Linked DNA regions of Schizosaccharomyces pombe. The gene in region 1 interacts genetically with each later gene. Each region holds a gene or a part of one and is shown in the gene's direction. Other genes may lie near its edges.

Evidence for each region.
Region 2: of pab1 (region 1) and igo1, changing one suppresses a phenotype caused by changing the other (phenotypic suppression), as found in Schizosaccharomyces pombe (one study listed by BioGRID).
Region 3: of pab1 (region 1) and ppk18, changing one suppresses a phenotype caused by changing the other (phenotypic suppression), as found in Schizosaccharomyces pombe (one study listed by BioGRID).

Annotation. Positions count from the first base shown.
Region 1 is NC_003424.3:506,588-511,698, reverse strand, and holds pab1 (serine/threonine protein phosphatase PP2A regulatory subunit B-55 Pab1), read left to right. Parts: upstream 1-1,805; 5' UTR 1,806-2,007; coding exon 2,008-2,051; intron 2,052-2,095; coding exon 2,096-2,136; intron 2,137-2,213; coding exon 2,214-3,496; intron 3,497-3,518; exon of another isoform or gene 3,519-3,539; coding exon 3,540-3,563; 3' UTR 3,564-4,177; downstream 4,178-5,111. Other genes in the region: cleavage and polyadenylation specificity factor complex subunit Yth1, read left to right, coding at 363-532, 629-919, 979-1,030; yip5 (Rab GTPase-binding protein), read right to left, coding at 4,407-5,111. UniProt on the Schizosaccharomyces pombe protein: Phosphatase 2A affects a variety of biological processes in the cell such as transcription, cell cycle progression and cellular morphogenesis, and provides an initial identification of critical substrates for this phosphatase.
Region 2 is NC_003424.3:1,237,012-1,240,810, forward strand, and holds igo1 (serine/threonine protein phosphatase inhibitor Igo1), read left to right. Parts: upstream 1-1,884; coding exon 1,885-1,968; intron 1,969-2,013; coding exon 2,014-2,097; exon of another isoform or gene 2,098-2,161; coding exon 2,162-2,413; 3' UTR 2,414-3,174; downstream 3,175-3,799. Other genes in the region: SPOM_SPAC10F6.17C (bifunctional phosphoprotein phospatase/[pyruvate dehydrogenase (acetyl-transferring)]-phosphatase), read right to left, coding at 3,310-3,799. UniProt on the Schizosaccharomyces pombe protein: Plays an essential role in initiation of the G0 program by preventing the degradation of specific nutrient-regulated mRNAs via the 5'-3' mRNA decay pathway.
Region 3 is NC_003424.3:3,975,702-3,982,884, reverse strand, and holds ppk18 (serine/threonine protein kinase Ppk18), read left to right. Parts: upstream 1-2,029; 5' UTR 2,030-2,195; coding exon 2,196-2,326; exon of another isoform or gene 2,327-2,371; intron 2,372-2,689; coding exon 2,690-6,515; 3' UTR 6,516-6,633; downstream 6,634-7,183. Other genes in the region: SPOM_SPAPB18E9.04C (uncharacterized protein), read left to right, coding at 1-183; tRNA (guanine) methyltransferase Trm5, read right to left, coding at 6,806-6,871, 6,923-7,003, 7,053-7,183.

The DNA of each region.
Region 1 (5,111 bases):
ATATGTTTTGCATGTGGAAGCGAAGATAATACGTTTTCTGTTGCAAATTAGTATGTTAGTAAAATTCTCAACAGAAGCAATTAGTTATGTCTCTGACGAGGTAAATTTTAGATAAAAAGAATATGTTTTATAAAAGTTATTTTATTCGTATGCTGCATAATATCATTCTTTACTTAGGTTTCAAACATACCTATGAAGAAAACCTTAAAACAATAGCGATTTCATGAATATTATAAGAATAATTTAATTCGTTCTAGTTTAATAAGCATCATTTATAGTATGTGAATGCCAGTCAATAAAGTATTTGTGATATTCAAGTCAACTGAACAACGTTGCCTCCGCCATCTACTGGTTACTACAAAATGACTGATTATATCAAAGATAAAGCTATAGCAGCTGATTTTTCTTCAGTTCAATTTCGTTTTGATAACTATTTAAAGCAAAATTTTAATTTCGGAAGGTCTGCCTTGCTAAACTCTGGAAATGGACGCGATTCTGGATCGAAAATGGGTAGCGTGGTTTGCAAGCATTGGTATGTATATATAAAGAAGAGTAATATGAATATATATTTCATGTATTTTTCTATTTGTTTTTGTTTCTACCTTCATGATAACTAATATTATATAAGGCTTCGTGGACTTTGTAAAAAAGGTGAACAGTGTGATTTTTTACACGAGTACAATTTAAAAAAGATGCCTCCATGTCACTTTTATGCAGAGCGCGGCTGGTGTTCTAATGGCGAAGAGTGTTTATATCTCCATTTGGATCCCAGTAAACAAGTTGGTGTCTGTGCCTGGTATAATATGGGATTTTGTCCTTTAGGACCTATATGTCGAGGCAAACATGTACGAAAACCAAGGCCTTGCCCAAAATATTTAGCTGGGTTTTGTCCGCTAGGCCCTAATTGCCCAGATGCTCAGTAAGTTTTTTGAAGAATTATAGTGTTGACTTTCTCTTTCTATTACTAACATGTTCTAGTCCTAAACACTCTGAACCTCCGCATCCTCCTCAAAAGCGGAAAGACTGGTAAAGGATGCGTTTTTTAATGTGTCACTGTATATTAGGTAATGAAATCAAGTTATCAATGGAGTATATGCAATTAGTGATGCCGTACATTGATTATTGAGATTTTTTTTTATGGAATAAAATTAATTATCGACGTTGGGTTTGTCTTGGTTGCGGCGAACCAAATCGACACATAATCGGGATAATAGAAGTATTTAGAAACCGAAAAATAAGTTTTAAATAATAAGTCTCCCTTTTACATATGTTTTTTGCAACATAGAAGGAAAAGAAAATTTAGGAACTTAAGTATCGTTTACCAGTATGTAAAACGCTTACGTAGAGCGCCATCGTAATGTATCAAGGACGGTTTATTCATTTAATCATTCATACGTTATTCGTAAAATATTTGCTACTTTCCAGTTATGTTTCTTATTTTTTTGTAATTTACTTATCTGCTGTATTCAATTTTGCAAACTATAAAAACAATATGGATCTTTTATATGACAATGAACTTCTAGTTTTTTATAATCAAAAACACCTTTCTTTAGCGTACAAATGATTAAGGTTTCATTAATGGGAAATTGCCAACAAGTTTTACACTGGACTTTGTAAAGTTGAGCAAAAAATCCTATGTGTAGTAAAGCGTAAGATGAACACTGAAGTAATGAAATAGTGTTGTATTTATCAAAAATCCATTAATAACTTAAAGTCGCTTAAGGCTTGATTTACCGATAAAAATTTTACTGAGCTTTTGACTCGCCGAAGAGTGGTGTAGATTCGTTAGGGTAGCAGCATTTGATACGAACCATCAAGTTAGGAAAATCAGCAGCCCTCCAAAAAAGCCAGTGAAAACTGGGAAACTTTGTATCAAAACTTTTGAAAAAAGATCCAAAGACGGTATAGAGATACCCTTAGAAATTTGAAGATCAAGATCTTCGTATACAATTGAAATTGGCAAAGTGTACCAACGGGAACGAAATCTTAATATAATACGAGTAGAAGATGGATGATATAGAAGACTCTTTGGATCAGTGGAAATTTGCCCAGTATGTAAACGATGTGTGAAAAAAATTAATGACTAACTCTTTAGATGCTTTGGTGACAAGGGTGATGTGGAAGACATCACTGAAGGTATTGGTTTTGAGTAGTTCTCTCATAAAAGAGTTCTCTTTTACTTTAATCACTGAATAAATGACTAACAAGTTTAGCCGATATCATTTCAGCAGTAGAATTCGACCACACAGGTGATTATCTAGCAACCGGCGATAAAGGTGGCAGAGTCGTTCTTTTTGAGCGAAATCATTCGAAAAAGGGTTGTGAGTATAAGTTTTTTACTGAATTTCAAAGTCATGAACCCGAGTTTGATTATCTCAAGTCCTTAGAAATCGAAGAAAAGATCAATAAAATTCGCTGGTGCAAGAGGACTAATCGAGCGCATTTTTTACTCTCAACGAATGATAAAACTATAAAATTGTGGAAACTATATGAAAAGAATTTGAAAGTCGTTGCCGAAAATAATTTGTCGGACAGTTTCCACAGTCCTATGCAAGGACCTTTGACAACACCTTCGCAACTTCGACTCCCACGACTCAACCATCATGACATGATTATCGCTGCATATCCACGACGTGTTTACGCTAATGCACACGCATATCATATTAATTCGATTAGCGTTAACTCTGATGCAGAAACTTACATTTCCGCTGATGATTTACGTATCAACTTATGGAACTTGTCCATCTCCGATCATTCATTCAACATAGTTGACATTAAACCTGAAAATATGGAAGAACTTACGGAAGTTATTACTAGTGCCGAGTTTCACCCGATAAACTGCAATCATCTCATGTATAGTAGCAGCAAGGGAAATATCAAACTCTTAGATTTGCGTCAATCTGCGCTCTGCGATAATCCATGTAAGCTTTTCGAGGATCAAGAAGATCAAGATTCCAAGAGTTTCTTTTCTGAAATCATCTCTAGCATTTCAGACGTTAAGTTCTCACAAAATGGCCGCTATATTCTTTCAAGAGATTATTTAACTCTTAAGATATGGGATGTCAACATGGAAAAAGCTCCCGTTAAAACTATTCCATTGCATGATGTTTTGCGATCAAAGTTATGCGATCTCTATGAAAATGACTGTATTTTTGATAAATTCGAGTGTACCTTTTCTGGTGACGACAAACACGTTTTATCAGGAAGTTATAGCAACAACTTTGGGATTTACCCCACAGATAGTTCTTTGCCTGGCGATAGAGGACAGATAGTTTTGCAAGCCGACAAGGCTGCATTTAGAGCCAGAAAATCTGCTGCAAATAACGTTCCAAAGTTGAATGCTGTGAAAAATAATGATTGGCGGTCACAACCTCAAGCTGCGATGGGATCTGCTTCTGTTGGCCTTGATCCTGATAACCTGGATTACAATAAGAAGATATTACATGCCAGTTGGCATCCCTTTGAAGACTCAGTTGCCATCGCCGCTACTAATAATGTACGTTTGCTTATCAACTTTTTGTTTACTAATGTTTCAATAGCTTTTTGTTTTCTCTAAGCTCTAATGTCCTTATGTGGAGTTTGGTTTGTTTTTATGATCTACGGATAGACTGAACATAGTTCCTTTTTTATTGAACTTCCGGGAATAAGAGTTTTCTTACCTTCTTCTTTCAGATTGTATTCTTATATACACACACCATTTTAACCATTAATGACAGAAATAAAGTTTTTAGGACTAATGATAAAAGGGTGCTTTGTTTATCTCCCTTCATGTATGCCGTGAATCGATACATATGTACTTTGCTATCCACAGTATTTTTCTTTTTCTCTTTTTACGTGTTCCTTTTTAATCTTGAAATTGTGGTGATGCATCGTAAATTTCAACGTTTTTTCAATATCTCACAAAGTTTTTTTCTCTTGTTGAAAAAAATCTGAATTTGAAATCGTAAAAGTACTTTTCAGGTTAAGCTTCACCATTAATTTACCTTCAGCTCTTTTTTGTTGAACAACGAGTAATAATGTGTTAAGTTTTCTATATAAATGACGGGAGATCGATTGCAAAAATATGACTAAATGTCATAAAGTCTTTGGTTCACTAAAAAGGCTACAATTATTTTTACTAAGGCATGATTCATCAATGCATAAGAAATGATTATTTATACGTATTTTGCACCTGAAAAAAAAACCTAGTAAATTGAGGGAACATTAGTAGCTATAGTAAAAAGAGTAGAAAATCAAATGTAAAGCGAATATATGTATAAACTGAATCATATAGAGTATACCAACACTTAGACTCAATAGGATCTTAAATGCTGAATGACTTTTCTAAAGAATGAAAGAAGGGGAATAGTATAATTTTCGAATGAAGCAATGCGACTGATAAAAGAAACTCCTCACAAATTAGGATATTAACTGAAGAATATGAGTTGAAGAGACAAAGCGAGCAAACAGTGAAAGACGATAATTCCGAACAATAAAAGTTTGCACAAATTTGATCCGGCTTGCTGACAGATAGGATATAAATTTCTAGTTAAAAACACAATGGAAATTAACAAACCAATCCCTGTAAGTACATATTTGACAATATGGGAGGCCAAAGTAGATAGCAATCCAAACGGAGGAGTTGCTAAAGAAACGGGAAGCCAAACAATGTTAGCATATCCATATAAACACAGACAGTCGAGTAACTTAGGGTTGCATTTGTTCCACACTAGGATACCCCATAACAAAACGGCGATAATGGTAGTGTAACCATAAATAATTGATGCTGCAGAGATCAACTTTTTTATAGAATAGCCACTTGTACCATGCCCTGTGGCATAACGAGCGTATTCGGTAATTGAGTTGGAAAAGAATAGAGCCTGTATAACCGTAGTGGTTATCCAAAAAGGACCGTATAAATCGGGACGATCATCTACAACATCAAAGAAATTTACAGTGGGAATAAGAGTATGTATACATCGTTGAACCACATCTTTAGTTTCCACGTTAAATGAATCTTTGATGGTCCATGGCGTCTCTTGCATGGATGCGCGACGAGATTGTAATCTAGGGGCCGGAGGCTTTGTAATGGGAGTTCTCTGCTTATAAAGGTCTTCAGCCTCAAATGTTGT
Region 2 (3,799 bases), 730 kb from region 1:
TCGCCAATCCGAAAACATCTTTCACAAAAAAGAACCCAACATCAAGCTTGATGGGTGAGCCTAAAGTTATATGCGAAAGGAATTGAGTTTGCTTTTACTAAAAAATCTAACGAAGCAGATGATTTATGTTGACCAGCTATGGTGAATCGGTGGACCGAATTATCGTTTTGTGACAACGGGAACGAAACGATTTTTTACCCACATTATTACCGAACTACACTCACATCCTGACCTTATGTATTTGGTTGGGGAATGACATGACTGAATTATAAATGATATACAAAAGTTTAAATTAAAATCACGTAAAAGCGAAGAAAACAAAAACAGAAACCAAAAAATTCTTGACCTTACTCGGTATTCTTTACAGTTTCCGTTCCTTTTGTAAGTATAAGAATAAAAACAATGCCTATTTTCGCTTTGCGGTTGCCTGCTGAGCAGAAAACTAAGCGAACCTTAATATTCTTTAAACTTTCCACCATATTTACTTTTATACATTAGAACTGTGTTGTTCAATTTCCTTAATTTTTTCGACTGCAAATTACAGTAAAGTAACAATACGTACTAGAGGATATACAAAATATCTGTTTTAAATGACAGATATTTACTATGTCTTTAATGAAAGATATAATACCTACTTGTAGGTAGTATTCTCTATCAGTAAGCCCATGCGCAAATATCGTACACTCAAAGGACTGATGATGAATGCTGGACAGGTCGGTACAATAACTTTTTGTAGCCAAGTCCATCGCCAAACGTTTCTCCTTCAACTAACTAACTAACTATAAGAACAATCATGCACGTATAACCAAATTATTGTTCCCGTATGCACATACGTTATTGTACATTTGAGTATGCAAACATGAAGGCGACACATCCGCTAACATGCCAAATGTATATCATTCATTGACTGCCACTCGCTTAGCTAAAAGTGCGAACGCATATGTAATTCTATGAGAAATTTAGTCATTTCCACATGTAACAGTAATTTTGCGAATACTAAGGCTAACATGACAATCGTAAGCCAAGAAGACTTCCTAATTTCACTTCAGACGGATGAGCAATTCACAACTAAAAGTTGCCTCAAATCACTACTACCTGTATCACGATTAGAATGAAAATGTCGGATTTTTGAGATGTTATCGCCATGATGCAATCTTTTCGCAACTAAGTACTTTTTCTATTAGCAAGATAAACCGACTCCTTGAAGCAACTTCATTCTCTAGTCCTTATTCTGATCTCCAAGTTAGGTAAATGGAAATTCAACTATTTGTGCAGAAACCCCATCTCCCATTATTACCCTTGCTGCTCTTCTTTCTATCTGTACACTTTGGGAAGGGACTGTTGAGTCGGACATTCAACACTTTTTACAGCCACCAAAAATAGGTTGCCTAGACTAACAATAGGAAGGAACTTGTCGTCATGTTAAAAATCGGCCTTGCTCATAATAATTATTTTATTATTTTATTTTTTTTTTATTAGTTTTGGACGCAGCGATAAAATGCCCGATAAGGTTAGAAAGAATAGGTTATTGGCAAGAAAGTAGGGTTAACAAGTGAGTCGGTAGAAAGCATGTTAATCAAGCGAGTATGCAAAGTCTTCGTCAAGGATTCCACTCACAATAGCAAAGGCAGCAAGTTGTTTGTAAATAGTAAACAAATGACATTTGGCATAAAACCGACCTTATCCACTTTACTTTTTCATCATTCATGAGAAATGCCACTTAATCAATGAATGATCATTTAGTGTAGATTAGCTCATTCAGCCGCTATTTCGTTGGAATCCAGTAATTTTAGAGTGTTTACGTATCGACAAAATTACGTATGATACCTAATACGTTAACAGTGCGGTATCTTAGGCTTCGGTAGACAAGTGGCCGTGTGGTATATGGTAAGAACGCGCAAATGGATGTTGTCAACAACCATAATCGCCATGTCTTCTAGCAATTCAGAGCAGAAAGTAGACGTTGCAGTAAGTTAAGATTGTACAGCTGAAATTGATTATTAACTGAAATAGAAATTAAGTCCAGAAGAACAGAAGCTTTTCCGTTTGTATGGACGACTTCCTCAGCGAAAGGATCTATTAGTTCAAAAATTACAGGTATGGAGGAATGGATGTGTTTTGGATAAATTGTCATATTTATTCTAACTCTACCCCTTTTTAGCAAGGTAGAAAATACTTTGATTCAGGCGACTATGCCTTAAACAAAGCTGGAAAGGCCTCCGATTCAGGTATCACTTGTATTGGTAAGGAGATTCCCTCTCCTGACACAATTCCTCACCGTGTTGTCAGTGCTGGGTCTCCTAATAAAGAGCCGTCTCTTCACACGAAACGACCCTCAGAGTCCTCGCCTAGTGGTGCCAGTAGCAGAAGGGAATCTGTCACGCGACACGACTTGGAAAGCAATGAAAATTGAGGTCATACACGTTGCTATTTTTGCGACAAGGTTGGAGGTTTAATTTGGCTTGGCTCTTAAAATTTGGTATTGCTTGTCGTGTGCGGAAATGCTGTGTGCAAAATTGTGGTCTGGCAAAATGGAACGAACGCGTTTGTTCAGCTGTCAAGAGTTATGAGAAATATATAACGATAAAAGTCTACGAAATGAAAACGCTTACTACTCTAATACTTCCCTTTTCTCTTCCTTACCCTTTTCTACGTAGTTGATGGAGGACAACACTTCTGTTTTATTCAATGCATCGCGCATTCCTTTTCTTCGTTTCTTACTTTAAATCTTTTTTTCATTTTCCTTTATCAACTGTTGTTCTATCTTGTAATTTCTTATATGGTTCACTTGTTTTTTTGTTGTCAGAACACTTGTCACGATTTTGGCTATATGGCATTGTTTAATTCCAATGTTTGATGATTGTTCTCGTCATCGCTCTTGCGTATTGCACTATTGTCGTCTCGTCTTTTTGTGAGTTTCAAGTGTTTTTACTTACTTTATTTTTCTTTTTACATTTATTTACAATGTAACGTTTTATCATTCTATAGAGCAAAATGAGCATATTCTAAAATTTAATTGTTGCCATTCGTCGCCACGTGGATACGGTGTCTCCAACGGTTTTACTTTCGAAAAAAATTTGCTGTATTTCTTTTGTTTTTCTTTTTTTTTTAGCGTGGCTTATCTTACTGAGCTTGGTCAATGTGATAGGAATAAAAAAATGAAGTGTTAATATATATTTTCTCGTAGTGCCAATTTTTTTGTGTTTGGCAGATTATTCAATTAGTCGTTAAGCATTCCTTCTTTTCTTGCTTTTTTTACTCATGAATAAGAGTAGTTATGCGTGAAATAGCATTCCTTATCGTATGTATCTACAAAGTTTTTTCGTCGAAAAAGATCACCGTAACAGTTATGTCGTCACGATACCTTCTTGAAATTGGATAAGTCAAGGTTAATAAAGCAGATATTCTTTGGTCGCTTCCACCCAAAGAATGTCGAATAAGGTGCGTGGCAGCATTATCATCAATGACCTTTGATGTTTTCTTAAACAGCGACCATGATTGTTTGTCATCCTGAGTTGTGTTCTTTTCGTTGGTAGTTTTACCCAAAACTGTATCTGCCCATTCTCCGACCAATTGTACTGCTTGTTCACTGGACATAGTGTCCCAAAGGCCATCGGAAGCCATAATTAGAAAGCGATGCTTCTTTGGATTCACGGTGATACTTTCAATTTCAGGGACCGCAGTAACATATGGAGGAGTTTTAACAGGGATGGGTGAAGCGGAAAAATATTCTCTGTGTAGTCTCTCGCTAATTTCCTGGGACCATTTGTAACGAGCGTCGCCAAAGGCTCTTGAAGGC
Region 3 (7,183 bases), 3.5 Mb from region 1:
GGTAGCAGCTCGAGCTCGAGCTATACTCCTGCTTCGTCTACTTCTACTACTACTAGCAGTGTCAGTTCAAGGCAATCGTCAAGCAGCTCTTCATTCACTCCTTCTTCTGCCATTTCTACCGCAAAAAGCTCTTTCGTATTGAGTACGTTGTCAATTCTTATTGCGCTTTATATGGTCGCTTAGGTGATTGGTATGCGATGAAAATTTAACTTGTGGTTTGATGAAATATATCTGATGGTTTGTTGTTTGTATGATCGTGGTGACCGCTGAATAATATAAACTTCTCTATGTTCATTCGAATTATCGATTAGCTAAACTGAGCTCAAGGCTTTTTCATGTGCTTTTTTTGTTCTCGTTCACAGCGGTTATCGGTTATTTATTTTTTACGAGCATAACTGCATCTCAAGAATCTTTTATATTTCTGCCCGCTATGTTAGTAAAGCAGAGTATCTAAGAAACCTGACACTGTTATGGTCGTCTATTTTTTTGAATTCGTGATTCTTTAACATCTCGTAATTTCATTTCGAAATATAATGAATCTTTAGCTTATAAGAAAAGTCATGTGATTAATGTTTTCAAGTAAGTTGTAGCTAAGAATAACTAATATTGTATTGTGTAAGTTGTTAGATTATACAGTAATATTGCACTATTATGAATACGACAATGATGGAGACGTTAATTTCAAGTTGTTAAAGAAGAAGTTGGTGTAAGTTTTCCATGTGCTTGAATTATCGAGCAATTCCTAATTTAACCGTTTTCCACACCACTGTTCTTCCCATGCTAACCTAAAACTAATAAACAGTTGCCAGGGATGATAATATATTTTTTATTGCAAATTAGTATCAGCCGATGCGTTTTCTCTAAAAATGGGTTTTACCATGTATGCAATAAAATGATCAACTTGTGATGAGTGAGTTATTCTCCCTACCAAAATTTTCGTTACGATATGGAAAATTTAGAAAAAACATAGTAAAGGAAATCGTTTTGCTTTTCGAATGAATTTCGGGGGTTCAACTCTAAAATGGAACTTTTCTTTGTGGTAGTGTACACGCTATACACTCTTTTAGTCAACTGTCAAGTAATCGAATTTGGAAATATGATCTTAACATAGAGTATAATGTATTCTTTTAAGATATACGGAAATTTATTAGAACGCTGTGCATGAGAGCGTGGGAGTGTAAAATCCGGTACAGAAAACGGTTTCTCTGATGACCCATCCATTACCAATTTTATTCAGCAGGTACTAATGAAAAGCGACAGAAATTATGATTTTGGAAAAGAATAGCAGTTATGACCTACTTATCTATTAACAAATTGGTAACTCCTTATGCATCAATAATACATATGCATTCCTTACCAACACAGCTGTGAGCATATTGAATGATGGGGTGTCTAAACAAAGCAACTCGAATATCCTATTTTCAACACTATGAATGGGCGCATTCATCCCTATTCCAACAGATCTGTAAACATTAGCCTGTGAACAAATTAGTAGTGCGAATCGGAGGAATAGTTGGGCTGCAAGGAGGGTATCCCTGCTTTAAAGAGGGATTGAAGAAGAACAGGTTTTAATCCTAACTGCCAAAATATCAATCCTCCATCTATAATTGGTACTAAGCGGATTAAGCGCATACGTGCATGCGCGCAGTCGCACTTTTGTTTGAGACCTTTCCGCGCAAAATCATGTTACAGAAATGAAAGCAGAATAACACATCATGGAAGACATTTCCAAAAAAAATCCGCATTTCTACAGCTTGCATTACATTGTCTCGCTTTCCTTTCAATCACCAACCTTTTTTCATCTTGCAATGAAAATTCATAAACCGAAGTATAGCGATCAACGATATATAATTATATAATTATTGCCATCGAAATCGTTATTTAAGACATCGGCTCGCGATCTCTCCCCTTAGTGAATCCTGATCAAGGGATAAGTAAGCACAGGTATCAATCGTCCCAGGGTAACAATGATTAGCCTCTACGCACTGCTCACTCATATAAATATTGACACAGTCATCAAGAGCCACCCACGTTCATAAATTGGGTGTTTGATTAGAATATCAATTGGTTACCGTATTGTCTATGTTTTTTTAGTCGATAGATTGGGTTTTATGAAATAACGAAACGCTAATTGTATTCGAATGGTTTTACTTGTCGCACATTAGGATCAAAATCTGAATGGAGTTATAAAGTTAATGGTAATGCAAGAACGCAATTCCAACGAGGATAACAAAGTAAATCACGGAATAGACAACATTTATGTCTTGGAGTTAGATTTAGACGGATCTGTGCTGTTTGCAAGTACAAACTTCTCACAGATTACCGGGTAAGTGCAGTGGAATAGCGGGCGATGTTACGAAATTTCTCTGTGTTGTTGGCAGAAGGATACCATTGCTTGCTAGAATATTTATATTGTACATTTAATTTGTATCTTTCTTTTAACGATTCGGTTGGTATGACTTTGCAGATTACGCAAAAATAGCCATTGAATAAGGCTTCAATTGCCTTGATCTGTAAGTCATACGTATAATACTTAAATCTTCTATTTGCTGCCGACCTGTTTTAGTTCTTTTAAGCTGGATTGGCCAAGCTATGGCTGATACTCCTTGGGTCGCCTCTGTCCTTCAACTTTTGAAATCTTGCTCTTTTTCAATTTATTGCTAGGTCTTTTACTAACCAAGTTGCATAGAATTAGTTCGTTAGAACTTACTGGCAAACCTGCAGCTCTTCTGTCATCCGACCAGGAGATATTCAACGCAGCCATTGAACAGCTTCTTGACGATGACTCCCACAGTGTTAAAATTCATACCGTGATTTCGAAGCTGCCCTCCTTGGAGGAAAATGTCTTTGTTCAGGATGAGGAAATGGAGCTGCAATCAAAGTCTGTCGAATTGGATTGCGTTGGTGTCCTCATTCGTGATCCCTTAACCAGCCGACCCTCTCATACATTATGGGTTTTGCAACCTTTGAAGCCCACGCGAATCACTCGTCAGGAAATAGGCCAGCAACTCACAGAAACTCTAGGTTTTGGAGCTCAGTTACTGGCCCAACATCTTGAAAAGCTTCAAACCGTTCCTTCCACCGATAGTCTTCCTCCCTTTGAAACAGTACTTTGCAGGGTTTGCGATCATGAAATTCAAAATTGGTACTTTGAGCATCATACTGAACTTTGTCTTCTCATTCACCATGCTGAAGCACGTGCTCAAGAAGCAAATGACCTTCTTAACGAACAAAGAAATGCTTTACAAAGTTTGTTGGATTCTTTGGACGATCAGATAGAACCAGATGTATCATATTTGGGAGTTCCTCTCGCCGCCGTCCTTCCTTCCTCTATTACTTCCTCCGCGAAGTCGAATTCCCGGTCATCGTTGTCCCAAAAAATTAGAAATTACATTAGTAACATGCTGTTTGATGCCATAAGTTATACAGATAGTTGTTTAGCCATCCATTTACCTTTCATACCAGAATCCACTACCAGGGAAGACAATCAACCATTTAGTGAAATACGCTTATTATCACCAGCTAGTGAGGTTTTCAATGCAAAAACTCTTTCATGGTGCTTACCACATATTGATGACCCTGGGTTGCAATTGATGTTTGAAAACACGGATGCCTTAGTAAAAAAAAAGCTTGATGCCATTAATCGTCTCAGCAACATCATCTATTATTCTGAGCGTGTTCGTTGTGAAATTGAAGATCAAGTGCAGACCATTATTGAACAATCCATTCAAGTTGATGGTTATGACGAACCTCTCAGTACTACGACTCCTACACTTATTGAACCAATTCAAGAAACCCTTATGACACAATCTCCTATTATTGAATGCGAACCATTTAATACAGTTAAGCCTTCTGTTTCTCCTGAGGAAGTGCACGATATTTCACAGTTCAACCATAGGAATGATCCGCCGATTACTGCTGCTAGTGTTGATTCATCCAATTCTTTTTCAGTCCACCGTTCCTCTACAAATCACAGTAGTACTAATAGTGGATCTCCCAACCTAAGCCGTCGCAACAACCTTGCAATCCCCATTGCTTCTAGAAGAAAATCTGTGAGTGCAGTTAATACTTTATATGGAGTTGGTTCTTCCTATACCTCTGAAAGTTTTCCCTTTAGTAAACTTACTGTCCCAGTTGAGCGTAATTCTTTCCGTGAAACAGAGTCACCAAAACCATTTTTGAGTCGCCAGATTGGCATATCGACACTGTCATCCAACATTAGCAGTGGTAAAGGGACTCCTTCTATTCAAGATTACGAAATTATAAAGCCTATTAGTAAAGGAACCTTCGGCACTGTTTACCTTTCCCGTAAAAATACCACTGGGGAGATTTACGCCATTAAGGTCTTAAGAAAAGTTGACATGATTTCAAAAAATCAGGTCGCTAATGTGAAAGCTGAAAGGGCTGTGCTTATGGCGCAAGAAGAATCTGCATTTGTTGCAAAATTGTATTATGCCTTTCAAAGTAGGGATTACCTCTATCTTGTTATGGAATTCATGAATGGAGGGGATTGTGCATCCCTATTAAAATCGTTGTACACTATACCGGAATCGTGGGCAAAAATTTACATTGCTGAAGTTGCATTAGGTCTTGAGCATTTACATAGGCTTGGTATAATTCATCGTGACATTAAACCGGACAATATCCTTATGAGTATTACTGGACATCTGAAATTAGCGGATTTCGGCTTAAGTCAGTTAGGTTTAACTACACGGCAATTACGTTTACAAAAGGGTAAAAATAATATTTTGTCACCACCCAGCTTTCAATCTCCTACTGCGTTGGGTGATCCCGGTGATAATATTGCCAGTTCTCCCTTGATTTTACCTACCAGTGTTAGTGCTTTTTCGTATGATGAAAAATCGCAAAAGCAAAAAACAGAGTTGGCTACATTTACTACGTATAAAGAGGATGATACCACTACTACTACTCGTACGAGCATAGATAGCATCTCTAGTAAATATTTAGAAAGTCCAGTTGACTCTCAGAAAGTCAATCGGACTCCTAATTTACAATCGGTTCCTTTTTTTAGACAACCTGATGCTCCTAAAAGATTCGTTGGTACTCCTGACTATTTAGCACCTGAAACTCTTCGCGGAAGTACACAGGATGATATGGTTGATTGGTGGGCTCTTGGCTGTGTGTTGTTTGAGTTTCTGTTTGGTTATCCACCTTTTCACGCAGAGACCCCGGAAAAGGTATTTGAAAATATTTTGGCTAATAACATTGCATGGCCCGATTTAGAAATGTATCCTTGTTCCGAGGAAGCATTAGACTTGATTAATGGGTTTCTACAGCCAAATCCGGAGAGACGACTTGGGTTTTCGGATATTAATGAAATCAAAGAACATCCTTTTTTTAATGGGATTAATTGGGATGACATTTTTTCACACGAGGCTCCTTTTATACCTGCACCAGAAACCCCACTTGATACTGCATATTTTGATAGTCGTGGAGCTGGGGCTGCAGAATCTAACATGAGCTCATCTGTAAATAGCGGAGAGGAAGTTTCTAAGGATAATAATGTTTCTCAGGAAAGAGGTTCACAATTCCTTCGTTCATCTCATGGTCGCAGTCGTGAGAGAAGTACGTCAGCTCGTAGAAGCCGCCGATTTAGCGAAGCTAACTCAGAGTTTGACGAGTTTGGTCCCTTTTCTTATAAAAATTTAAGCGTTTTGGAAAGAGCTAATCGAAATGCTATTGAAAAAATAAGATCAGAAATAGCTGGCAAATTACATATATCCCCTCCGGATCCACACATTGGATACACCCCTGGTTCCGATATGCCTTCTGCAAAACTTTATGATCAGCAACTAACTTTAAGTCCCTCTTTAATGACAAACCAGGGCTCTAATTTTTCTTCCACTGATTCAACACCTAGGAAGTCCATTAACAGTTCTGATGTTGAATCTCGTTCTAAAACTGATGGCCCGAAGTCAATGCACGATTTGATTAAGCAACTGCATATGCGAAAGCATAGCTCTCATACGAATCAATCAACTGGTTCTTCTGAAAGTGATGATCTTTTTAATCTTGATCTTCCGATTTCGAATTTGGAAACTTCATATCCGTTTAAAATTGAGGAGGGTCAAGCATCTCCTTTGTCTTCTCCACTCTCAAAGACCCCTCCTTTTTTCTCTTCTTCAGTCCCCTTAAAGGCTTTGATATGTGTCAGCAAGCTGAATTTGTTTTCAGAGCTGATCAAGTTACTAAAATCATACAAGTTTCAAGTATCTATTGTTACCGATGAGGACAAAATGTTAAGAACTTTAATGGCTGATGAGAAGTTTTCGATCATATTTCTGCAATTAGATTTAACTCGTGTTTCTGGTGTTTCTATATTAAAGATTGTTCGATCAAGTAATTGTGCTAATCGAAATACGCCAGCTATAGCTTTGACACCTACCAGAATCGATATTAATGCTGCTATTCCTCGCATGTTTGATGGACGGTTATACTTGCCTATCAACGCGTTCCTTTTACGTGGTTATATAGCCCGGCTTTGCAATAAATGAGTTCAAACGTTTGTTAATCGTGATTGCTCATTTTTTGTTGTTACCATACTCTCTTTAATTTTTTCCTTTTTGTTTCTCGAATGTATAATAATTATAATAGTAATAATATTAATAACACTAATTTTTTTGAAAAAAGTTTACTTTTGTCAACTTACAAGACTTTTTTGGATTTATAACTTTTATTTTTACTGAGGTTTTTTCTACAGGATATGTAACAGTTAAAGTAATGAAAAAATAATAAGCCCAAAATAGCTCATCTTCTCCTGAACGACATTTCAATCCTATAAAGACTAACCTGAAACCGGTTTAGCAAATATTATAGAACCAGGTAACGTGAAAGTACAACAGTACATATCCTAGTTGTTTAGTTAGTTACATTAAAAGTGCTATATAAAGAAGGATATTACCTTGTTGGGAGCAACTTTTCGGACATAATAAAAGTCAACTTCTTCAGGAGAAAAACGATACCCCAACGAAGCGTATATCCGCTAAAAAAACTTGGTTAGTAAATTTTCATTTAAAGTAAGCATTTCATACATTTATAAGATCTTCCTCAGGATCGGGAAATCTACAAAAGCAGTGAACATGAACTTTTGGAAGAGAGCGGTCTTTAAACAAGTACTCCAATCCATAATAACAACCTTTGAAAGCATCTAAAAATTCAATCG